Linked DNA regions of Diceros bicornis minor. The protein of the gene in region 1 purifies or fractionates together with the protein of each later gene. This does not show direct contact. Links are inferred from orthologs where the notes say so. Each region holds a gene or a part of one and is shown in the gene's direction. Other genes may lie near its edges.

Region 1 (3,745 bases):
GTGGGGTACATTGCTGGGCAAGCACACAGGAAGGAAACCTAACACACTTGAAGCTACGAGTGAGGCAGGGGTGAAGGAGTACTTCCCGAGGACTAAGGCAGACTTTTAGCCAGCTGTGTGTGTTTGGGGGAGAGGGGTTGGGAAGACTTCAATAATAATGCCTGGAGCGAAGAGAGATTGAGATATTGGAAGTTTCACTGGGATTAAGACCACAGACCCATCACTGCTCCACTCTATTCTCCAGGTTACAAATGCAAATACGATCTCTTCATTTTTCTGTAAAAGGCCCCCACTGCTTTGAGGATAATATCCAAATCTCTTTAAAATCTGGTCCCAGGTTACTTACCTCTGCAGTCTCATATTTTTTTAACCTCCTCCCTCTTTAATTTTATGCTCCAGCCATGCTGAAATTTTCTTGGCTTGTCACATCCTATTTCTTCTGACTAGAAATCCATCACCCAAAGCTGGATTAGGTGTCACTTCTCTCTGCTCATAGTGCCCTGTGCTTCACCTAATAGATCTAATTTTCTGAAGTTACCACTAGCTTGAACTCCTTGAGGGCAGGAAGTAGTTTAATTACAGTTGTATCCCAAACATCTAGCCTAATGTCCTAATGCCCAACTAATTTTGAATGAATGAAGGCTGGCTTTATTGCAGAGTTGGGTGGAGGATTCTGTACTAGACCTTAGGAGCTTTGGCCTTCAGACTGTCTCTTTGTTACTAGTTTAAAGGTTCATTCTAGGGCACGAAGAAACCATTTAGGTTTAAAATCACTGAAGTTCAAAATTTAGGATTAGGCATAGATTTATCTGAAAAGATCGACACGCTCAAACTGATTAACGTCCGTCAGTCTTTTATTTAAAGCAGACACGGTCCAGACTACCGCTTCACGGAGCGTACCACCCGCCTAAAAGCAAACGTGGGTCTAGTCCCGGGATTTTTTTGCACGTAGACTCCGCCCACGGGCCCCCAAATGGCGGAAGAACTGCACGCTACGTCCCGACATCTCACACTCTGCGGAAGCATCGCGACGCTACGCCGGCGGCGTAGGCGTGGCAGCCGGCTCTTCCTTCCTCTCTGCTTCTTCGGCTCCTCCCCCAGGGCTTCACACGCTCATTGTGAAGCGACAGCGGCCGCCAGCCTCTAGGGCTGTTTGAGACGTAGGGACCTTAAGTCCTTGGCGCGCGTGAACGCCCGCGCTGCTCCTTTCCCATTCTAAAGGCTAAGGGCGCGAGGTTCACCTTTCTTTATTTCTCCTCTCCCGCCCTGTGCTAACCGCCCAGGTGCGCGCGGACCTCTCGCGCCGCCGCTACCTCCTCCCCGCCCCTCCCCCGTCGGTGCTCCCGCCCGCGCGCTCCTCCCCCCTCCCCTTTCCCCGGCGACGCGCACGCGCGCCAGGCCGGCTCGCGCCCTCTCGCTTTCCTCCGGCCCGCGGGACCCCCTCCCCTTCCGCCTCGCGGCGCTTCCTCGCGCCGCGGTCTTCTCTATCCACCCCTGACACCGCGGGGCTCCCCCCGCCCGCCAACGGCGGGTCCCCAGCTTCCCAATCCCCCCTCGCTTCCCGCGCTCCCCGGCGGAGGCCTAGCCCCGGTCTCCTCTCTCCCTCCCTTCCCCCTAATTCCCCTTCCGGACGCTGCCATCATGCTGAAGCCTCAGCCGCCACAACAGACCTCCCAGCCCCAGCAGCCGCCCCCCACGCAACAGGCCGTGGCCCGTCGGCCTCCCAGAGGCAGCAGCCCTCCCAACGGCGGCCTCCCGGGGCCCCTGGCCTCCACCTCGGCTCCCCCAGGGCCTCCCGCGGCCGCTTCCCCCTGTCTGGGGCCTGCAGCCGCTGCCGGGAGCGGGCTCCGCCGGGGAGCCGAGAGCATCTTGGCGCCGCAGCCGCCGCCGCCGCAGCAGCAACATCAGGAGAGGCCAGGGGCAGCGGCCATCGGCAGCGCCAGGTGAGGAGGGGTGGGTTCCCGGGCGCTGGAGCCGAGGCTGCAGGGCGGCGTTGGCGGCTCGGTTCCGGGCCGGCGGCCGGGAGCTGAGTACACTCGCGAGGCGGGCCCCCATTTCTCGCCACCTTTGAGGGGCACCAGGGTGAGTGGGGGACTCCCCGTGAAGCTGGAGGTGGGCCCCCCTCAGGTCCTAACAGGTCGGAGGAAAGGGGTCCCGGGGCGGCCACCAGGGCATTTAAGGGCCGTGCTCAGCCCTCAGAGCCTAGGTAGGGCTCGGGGCCCGGGCCTTAAGGGCAGGCAGGGCGCATCCCGTCAGCGCTCTCGGAACGAGGAGTTGGGGGGGTGAAGAGGTGATCGGGGTCCCCGGCTCCATTACCGCGAAGGGTCTCGCGGTCCCCGGCTTCAGCCAATGGGGAGTCAGCTGCGGGAAGGGGTCCCCGGCCGTAGCCAATGGAGGGGGGCGCGCGGCCCACAGTTTGGCCAATGGGGAGGGAGGGACTTGGAAGCGGGTTGCTACCTCCCCCTTCCCAGTCTGACCAGTAGGAGGGGAGCGAGATGGGCGGGGGGACGGAAGGAGGGACGACTGGGAGGACTGCGGGTCGGGAACCTCCAGCGCGCGCGCGCTCTTCCCGTACGTGCGCGCGGATGCTCTGTCTTATGACCCAGGCTTTCGCGAGCCCCGGGTAACAGGGCAGGGGCTGGGAGTGTGCATGGAAAGGTTTGCCTGGTGGTCGTGGATGAGTGGGCGACACCCCACTCGGTTTCTTCTGTGTGTGGGTTAATGGAATTGAGAGCAGTGGTACACGCAGGCGCATGGGGTTCTGATCGCGGGAGGGGAGGTTTTGAAGAGGCCCGTGGGCTTTAGTGCGCAGGCGCAGACCGGGCGAGGCCTCCCGGTGGATGGCTTTTGCGGCTGCGCTGTCCCCCCGGCCCCGCCAACGGCCCCCTCATCGCCCTCTTCAACCGCCGGTTACATCAGCCAGCGAGGAGTAGGGTTACCGGGCGATCGGTGACCCCTCCCAGAGTGGGTAGCAGACTGAATGAGTAAAGAGGTCGAGAGGATGGGTTGTAGAGGGAATACCTTCCTCCCAGGGTTTGGGGCATAAGGCTACTGAAAATGTCTTTTCTGTTTGGGAGGTAATGTGGCTGAGCTAGGTAGTTCCGATTCTGCGCTTTTGAGCTTCCACCTTTCCATCTGGGCTGCGTTATTGGTTACTGAATACTGTAGTATTGGTCTGTGGGAAGCATGTAGCCCCTTGGAGAAAGTGAGAAGGTTGTGTTGAATTGCCTCTTAAAACAATTGACAACCGTTATTGATTGAGGTTTATTTTACTGGCATTTGGAGAAAATGTGTTTAGTAGCTTTTGATGCCTACACCTTTCTTTCTCTATAAGGTGAGAGTTTGAAAATCTTATTGCTTAATTGGTTTGTAGCCTAAATCTGCGTCTTCACCCAGTGTAGGTTTTAGGTATGGTTGTAGGATACCTAGTTCTTTGAATTTAGTTGTGTGAGAGAAATTGAACGTATTTAAATAACTAGTTTCTTGTTTGTCTTATAGGGGACAAAGCACAGGAAAGGGACCCCCACAGTCACCGGTGAGTGCCTTTTTCCCCCCTCTGAGGTACAGAGACCTGAAAATGTATATGTGGGAATATAGGACAGATTAAGTGCAGAAATAGTCAGAGGTGGTCAGGAGGGAACGGGGCCCAGCACATCCAAGGTGGGTGTGAGTGGAGTGTGGGCATTTAGAAGGAAGGTGAGATGTTGACTATTCCTTTATTTCTCCCTCTTATGTTACTGACAGG
Region 2 (3,745 bases), on another chromosome or scaffold:
AGAGTCAGTGTCTAGTGTCTTCCCAGCTATACCCTGGAGCCAAGCCTGGGCCTAGATCTAGGACAGGGCTGTAATCCCAGTATCTCCTGGGATTTCAGCCTTTTAGCTGCCTTAGTATGTAAAATGCTTAGTATGTATTTAGCAACACCTAAGTACAGAACGGGCAAAGAAATAGACTTTTTCCCTTCTGTGGAGGCCACGTCCTATTTTCTCTACATCCCACGGCCTAGCACCCAGTAGGCCCTGTAATATATATTATTTTGAGCTGTTAGGATGAATTTGACCTTCTCGGTGGAACTTAAAACATCCATATCCTAGGACGGGTTAATAAACAATTATAGATGAGTTTAGGGTGCAAACAGCTGAAACCACTGGCTGCATTTTATGCTTGTCTACAGCAGCAACCTGCAGACGCCTAGTTCAGAAAGAAAATTACTAAATTCTCTCCCTCATCACATTAATAATCAAAAGGAACCAGAAATATCGGTCTCCAAAAGACAGCGCAGCAGCGAACCGGCTCCTGTTCACGCGCGATCTCGAGAGCGGCGAGGCAGGAGCAGTAGAAAGGCAGCCCCCTTGTGACGTCAAATCAGCGGACTCTCGCCCCGGCTTGAGGCCGGTTCCGGTTCCCCGACTTTCCGGGCGCGAGAGTACGTGAGCGCGGCGGCGTTCTGCGCGTGCTTCGCAGAGGGACGCGAGAAGGTTGGGTCCAGCTCGCGAAGGAGATGTGTGATTGGCTGAAGCCGTGCTGGGGGGTTCCCCAGGCCTTTCGGCAGGGGTAAAACAATAAGAGGGGGCGGTGGAAAAGGGGGCGGGACGTCCGTGTTCCTTGTCGCTCGCCGCAGCGTCTGGCCCCCGGGAAGAGGTGGTTGTAAGGGAAGCGAGCTCGCGGCTTTCCGGCTTCCGAGGCTTGAGGTTTGGCGGACGGGGGAGGCGGCAAGCGAGAAGAATCCGCGGCAGCCGGTCCTCGGCGACTCTCCTGCTGATCTCGGCGCCGACGTACCCCCTCCCACTGTTGGTTGGAGGTGTGTACGGGGGCCGGGAAGGGAGGTCGGTGTGGTGGTCGGAAGGGGACATTCCCTTCGCGCGCCGCGGCTCGAGGCAACCGTCCCGTGAGCCCTGCTGTCAGAGGTGTTGCGGCAGAGCGAGACATTGTTCTTGCCGGCTGCCTACGCTGCCGTGTGTGCTTGAGAGAAGCCGAGCCGTTCCTCTCAGGTGAAGGATGGGAGGCCGCGTGGGAAGGGAAGCGGCCGGCCCGCGTTGTGCGGACGGAGGGCCCTGAGGGCACAGGTGGGGCCGGGGTCTGTTGGGGATGAGGTGGCGAGCTGGGAAGGGGGACGCAGCGGCTCCCAAAGGCGCGCTGATGCAGGCTTAATGTGGGACGTGCGGAGTGGGTTTTCTGGAGAGGATGTTTTAGGGTGTGGAGCCCACCAGCCTTCTTTCCGACTCATTTGCGTCTCTTATTGCCGGTTCCCTGGGAGCGGAGAGGCCGTCGCCGCCCCGCCCGTGGGGGAGGGGACAAGAGGCTGTGTCGGCGGAGGCAGAAGCGACGCAGATGCGAAAGTAGCGGCCTCCGGGCACCATTTCTGTGCACCGAAACAGAATCCGGGTTTGAAGGTAGTCGCCGCTCTGGTTATCCAGTATCTAGTGGTCCGTGGTCTTCGACTCCCCTCGGGTTTATCCCGAACGTGCTCAGAGATCCGAATTACATATAACGTAACGCCTTCTTCGTGCCCTTTTTATGCAAACGTTCCCTTATTGACCCAGGAATCGAAAAGATGTTTGAGTGCTTTGGGAAATGGGTTTTTTTGTTTCCCTCTTTCTCCACTTTTTTGGGGGGGAACAGAAAGGATGGTCAAGAGGAGGAATATACGCTTCCCTGAATTGTGTTGATTTTATTAGTCGAATATGATGGAATTTTACCTGCTTCTCTATAAGCAGATTTCCTAAGATGTCCCTGTGCCGCTTTGGAGCAAATATAGATTTGCATCAACCATTTTCCGCATAGATCAGTTTTTTTCCTCTAAGGTATATCTAGTTTTCTTAACAGGTTTCTTTTTTTTTTGGAAGGGAGGTGCCGTGCCTTTGCTCTCTTTAAAACAAAACAACAACAAAACCCACGTGCACCAAAGCTGGAATAATAGCAAAGTTGTTTCCTCTTTCCCCCCCCATATGATTGTTGTGATATTAACTTCAGTTAAAATGCTGGTTTTTTAGGTTCAGGGCTCCACAATTCGTGCTAGTCGTCCAAATGTTAGCATTGCGTGTACCTGGATCTGTGAACCATTAACGGCAGTTAGGAAGCCCCGTATGCTGGAGGGGAAGAAGATAGGAATTCCTTGTTCAGCTCCATATTTGGCAGTTCATATAGCTTTAGGCGTGTGAACGAAGTTTCAAAGTAAACATTTGGCCCTGTTAGTATTCAGTGGTCCTTTTGATATCCAAAATTCCTGGTGTTAAAAAATGGACCGTAGGATTAGTTTGAACTTCTTGGAACTGAATTTTGTTGTTTCTTTGGTGATATTATTTTCTTAAATTTTTAGGATTAGTCATGTGTATCCTTGTGTTATTTAATCTCTAGAGGCTGTTTAATTTTGAAAGGTTATTAAGGAATTGTAGGGAGGATGAGGACCTCCAGTGGATTGCGTACTATCTAAGAGCTGTTATGGTTCAGGTTGTTGAATATTTGAGGTTGAAGTATTGGTCAATGAAGAACAAGTATTGAGAGTGAAGAGAACCAGAATGCTTGTGGGGTGGATGGGGATCAGAAGTACAGAAGGAAGGAGAAAAAAATAAGTCTTGAATAGTTTGATAGTCGAATTGAGTATTTAGTTAGCAGCTGAGCAGTTGATTTGTCAAAAGACAACTCTTGATTTTGAATAGTATCGGCACTGTTGGTAGCAGGAATTTCACTTGAGAGGTCAAAAATGAAAATTTCGATATCAGTTACTGGAAATCTATAAGTACTAATAGTGCCTTTAGTTTTTTAACAGCTTCCTTATGCTGCAGAATTATTGCTGTTGATTAACCATTATCAGGATTGAAAATTCTTTCATAGGTTGCTTTAAATAAGATTTTTTACCGCATTTTTTGCTGAGTGGGTATGGAGGTGGGGAATGACCCTTTTTTAAGGCTGGTTTTGAGAGGTACAAACTTAAGGGTTGTTTCTGAACTTAAATTCAGTAGAATTTAATTGACAAACATAACTTAGTTAATCTCCCTGTGGAAACTTAAGAGCTGATAAAACAAATTGGTTCCTTTCCCAGAACTCTGGACTGGCTTCAGAAGCAGTAGAATCAGTTTCTTGATTGCTGCCTCAGCTTATTTTTATCTTTTAATTTCTGGAGATTTTACCCTATTTTGATATACCATGGTAGCTATGTTGGATTGTAGTATGGATTGTGGTATTGTAGTATGACTCTCTTGGATTCCCTGTTACATTCCTGTTCTGTGCTTTTGGCTCCTCCCAACAGTATCAGTATGCTTACAGTTGGACTTTAAAGTTTTTTTGTATTTCTGTGTCCCTGGCTATTCTTCCAAAGCAGTTGTTCTTAACCAGGTGTAGTGAAAACATCACTAGAGGCAGGAGACCTGATTTCAAACCCTCTCTCTCATAACTATAACTGGGGGACCTCGAACTCCTTTCCTTAGGCTCTCTAAACATTGGTTTCATTTTCTGTAAATGAAGCTAATAACTTACCTATTTCAGGGAGATAAAGGAATGTGTAGGTTACTTGTTAAACTT
Region 3 (3,745 bases), on another chromosome or scaffold:
GGGCTGGCCCTTTGCCTCCCTCTGGACTAAAGAAAGGTCAACCTATTGTTACTCATACGTGAGGCTCTAGAATTTCTATATTGGGGGGGGTAGGTGGGTTAGGGGTGGCAATTGGTGATGGTAGAGCTTGAAAATGTATCTGCATAGTACACGTTAAGAAACTGTTTTGTATATCAGATGGACATTAATGGAGGGGACTCCCAAAATCCTGCCCCAAGGCCCTCTTTGTCACTACCACTGCTCCTCGCTTCTGCCTTTTGCCTGGCTTTCTAGAGGAGAGGGCAAGAGGGGAGATGGGGAAGCATCTTGAGTTCCAAGGATGATGGGTGATCATGGAGGAACTACTATTTATTAAAGACCTACTACATGCCATGCATTTGTACATATTATCTCACTTAACCTCCTGACTACTCTATGAGGTATTATCTAATATAGTATAGCAGTAAATAGCACTGTCTTTGGAAAAAGGTAGATTGAATCCTTGCTAGCTGTGCGACCCTGGACAAGTTTAGTCTCTCTAAGACTTAGTTTCTTAACCTGTAAAATGAAGATATTGATTCTTACCTCAAAGCGTTGTTGGATGCTCAATAAATGATATACAAAAGGTTCAGGTTTAGTAATTTGCTCCAGGTCATAGTAAGTGGCAGACCTGGGATTCCGAATCCGGTTTAGCTAATTCTATAGCCAATGTTCTTTCCACTACCACTTTGTAACTAGGTATAATCATTTTGAGCAAGTTTCGTTAAGTCCTCTGGGCCTCGGATTCCTCGTATGTAAAATATAGAGTTCATTCATTAAACTCTTGTGTCAAGGTGTGCACATAATGAAGACTGCAGCTCCTTCCTCCTTTCCCTTTTCATTCCACGTAGGTCATTTATCCTTAACTTCTAAAATGGACCCTGCAAGCACTTTACCAAGCTGGCGCAGCTGCACAAACATAATTATCCAGATTCTCCTTTATTTCCTCTTCTACCTAGGCTCCCGCCCCCCCCAGCACCAGGCCACGCCCTGGCGTGTGACGACAGCACGCCCCGTGCGTCGCGGCGCGGCGCTCACTGGGGGCCCGGCTTTCGCCCGCTGCTGCCGCCGCCGCCGCCGGCCGCGGCTGCTCTCCCAAGATGGCGGCTCCTCCGGGCGAGTACTTCAGCGTTGGGAGCCAGGTGTCGTGCCGGACGTGCCAGGAGCAGCGGCTGCAGGGCGAGGTGGTAGCCTTCGACTACCAGTCCAAAATGCTGGCTTTAAGTATCCTTCCTTGCGCGGAGCCCGAGGCCGGGCCAGCGTGTATGTGTGGTGGTGGCGGGGTGGGGGACGACGGCGGCGGCTGGGGCCCTCTCCGGGCCTAGGGGCGACCGGCTACCGCGGCACCCCGAGCGCATGCGCACGGATGTGAGCTCCCCTCCCCCTCGCACGGGTCCGTCGGTCTGCTTTGGGGACCCTGTCTCCCACCCCTTGTGGGAGCTGGGCCCCGAGCGAGGGTCGATGGGTGGAGGGGTGCTTGACACGCGGATGGCTTTTCGGGGGGAACGATATGAGAGGGAACACAGTGATGAGAAGAGGGGGTGGTCATCGGAGGGGGCTGGTGGACTGGAGCCTGGATGGAAGGGGGGCGGATAAAATCATGTGGGGAGGGGGTGTGTAGAGTAAGGAACTGCTAGTAGGGCAAGGGTGTGGAGTTTAGGAGGGGATTTGGTCCAAGGGAGGGCGGCGGGGTGGTGAGCAAATGGGCCTCGCCTGTTTTGGGGGAGTGTAACGGCAGGACAGAGTTTGTATCTGAACTGGGGATAGGGGCTTGTTTTGCTGGTGCGTGTGTATGCGTGGTGCCGTTGGGGGCGGGGAGTGCTGAATTTTAGGTTTCTCAGTCGTTTGAAAATTGCTGTTTTGGGGATGTTTGCATTGGAAACCTGGTCCAGGGAAAGGACCATGTTTTTCAGGGGCGTGTGAAGGGATGTGTGGGTTACAGGTGAAAGAGTAAGTTATCTTCTCTTGCTTAGCTCAGCACATGGAATTCTGACTTTTCCATGGTAGTAGCCTACCCTTTTGAAATTGGCAGTGTTAAGCAGAATGGAAAAGGTGGCCTGCTTCTTTGGGGTGGAAGTGATTTCTGAATTACTCCAGGAAACTCAATCTTGGAAACAAAATACTTCCTGGTTGTAATAAATGTGCCACCCCTTCCCCTTTTATTTGAGCCACAGGTGGGTTTATTTGGATTTTTTTTTTTTTTGAGGCGTAATCCTTTATGGCTTCTTTCAAAAGGAAGTTTCCTACTGAGTCTGCTGCATTTGAGTGGCAAGTATTTTAATTCATTTAACCATTAGTAGATTTCTAGCTTATTAGGAGGATGTTCTCTGAAGCTAATTACAGCAAGAACATTTACTTTTTTTTTTGCTTTTTTTTTAATGCAGGAATTCATACCTGGACCAAATAAGACCCTTTACATTAGTAGTTTAGTTGGAAGCGTTTTGGAATGAGGAATTAACTCTATTTTTCATTGGCATACAGTATGCTCTTGATAAATGGTTGGAGAATGAGTGAGTGAATGAATGAATAAATGGGTTCACTAGCTGGGTCACCTTGAGTGAGTTTCCTTTCCAGTACTGTAGTTTTCCCCTCTGCAAAATGGGAAATCTCAAATCTAAAAAAGTGAAAAGAGCACTCTATAGATGTAGGGAGTATTATGGCAAGAACAGAAAGTGCCTGTCATTTGTGGTTCATTAGGTTCAAGACAAACAGTATACACATGGTATTGAAACTGCATTATTCCTCTCCATAACACTGGTAGAGAGAAAGTGACAGAAACCCTTTTGAGGCTTCCAATTTTGGATTGTATTTGGCTTTGAAAAGGTTGAGTTCTTTTGGTTATGGGGTTGAGCGGGAGGAAGGTGATAGGCAGAGATTTCCTGAGGAGAGCTGTGATTCTCGTGAGGCTCCCCCCTCTTGCTCGTGGCACACCTTTTACACAAGCCTTGTGTGAATTGTGTTTTCCATGCCCCTTTTGGGATGTGTTGGTACTCTGCTTGCCCCTATTTCCTTAACTTTATTTTCTCACCAGAATGTCCCTCTTCCAGTGGAAAGCCCAACCACGCAGACATCTTGCTCATAAACTTACAGTATGTTTCAGAAGTGGAAATAATTAATGACCGAACAGAAACCCCTCCTCCCCTAGCTTCACTCAATGTTAGTAAGGTAAGGACTTGAGGGCAGTTCTGGCTCTCCAAAATGGTGGGAAAATTGAGTCTCATTGACTCTTGGTGATACAGACATTGTCCATTGTTTGGTTTTCATTTTTTCATTGACTTATAATTGTTTGTTCTGATATCTTTTTAAGAAATATATCAGTTTAGTTTTTCTCTTTATTCCTGGATGTTTTCAGAAGATTTTAAGACACATCTTAATGCCCCGAGTTGAGAGCTCACTTTTGTCTTTTGTCAAAGAGGGCATTTTTTTTTTTTTTTTTTTTAATCTGGAGTCCACGTGTGAACTTATGTTGTTGGTGGGGTTGGGTAGGGGTGTTGCCTGTGAACCTCCTGAAATTGTGTATTTGTGTTTCCTGGGTGAAGATATGGAGTATTTTTCAGATTCTCAGAGAAATTCATGACCTACAAAAATATGAAAAGCACTGCCTTGGAGCTTCATTTTTGTCTTCATGTTTGAATTTTGAGGTCTAACAAAATTAGAGGTTTAGGATATTTTAATCTTGAACGTACAAATTGATATCTGGGATCCCCCAAATCGCTGTGTTGATTCT

What was found.
Region 2: the proteins of ATXN2L (region 1) and G3BP2 purify together in Homo sapiens (affinity purification with mass spectrometry; 4 studies listed by BioGRID and IntAct, counting the BioPlex papers as one, with this or other methods). This does not show direct contact. The link is inferred for Diceros bicornis minor from reciprocal best matches to the Homo sapiens genes ATXN2L and G3BP2.
Region 3: the proteins of ATXN2L (region 1) and LSM12 purify together in Homo sapiens (affinity purification with mass spectrometry; 4 studies listed by BioGRID and IntAct, with this or other methods). This does not show direct contact. The link is inferred for Diceros bicornis minor from reciprocal best matches to the Homo sapiens genes ATXN2L and LSM12.

What each region holds. Positions count from the first base shown.
Region 1 is NC_080765.1:22,122,508-22,126,252, forward strand, and holds the start of ATXN2L (ataxin-2-like protein), read left to right. Parts: upstream 1-1,158; 5' UTR 1,159-1,641; coding exon 1,642-1,943; intron 1,944-2,563; exon of another isoform or gene 2,564-2,585; coding exon of another isoform or gene 2,586-2,623; intron 2,624-2,650; exon of another isoform or gene 2,651-2,964; intron 2,965-2,985; exon of another isoform or gene 2,986-3,057; coding exon of another isoform or gene 3,058-3,077; intron 3,078-3,091; exon of another isoform or gene 3,092-3,334; intron 3,335-3,498; coding exon 3,499-3,535; intron 3,536-3,744; coding exon 3,745-3,745. UniProt on the Homo sapiens protein: Involved in the regulation of stress granule and P-body formation.
Region 2 is NC_080747.1:61,142,552-61,146,296, reverse strand, and holds the start of G3BP2 (ras GTPase-activating protein-binding protein 2), read left to right. Parts: upstream 1-942; 5' UTR 943-1,025; intron 1,026-3,745.
Region 3 is NC_080757.1:42,705,851-42,709,595, reverse strand, and holds the start of LSM12 (protein LSM12), read left to right. Parts: upstream 1-1,081; 5' UTR 1,082-1,118; coding exon 1,119-1,242; intron 1,243-3,049; coding exon 3,050-3,183; intron 3,184-3,745. UniProt on the Homo sapiens protein: Nicotinic acid adenine dinucleotide phosphate (NAADP) binding protein. Confers NAADP sensitivity to the two pore channel complex (TPCs) by acting as TPC accessory protein necessary for NAADP-evoked Ca(2+) release.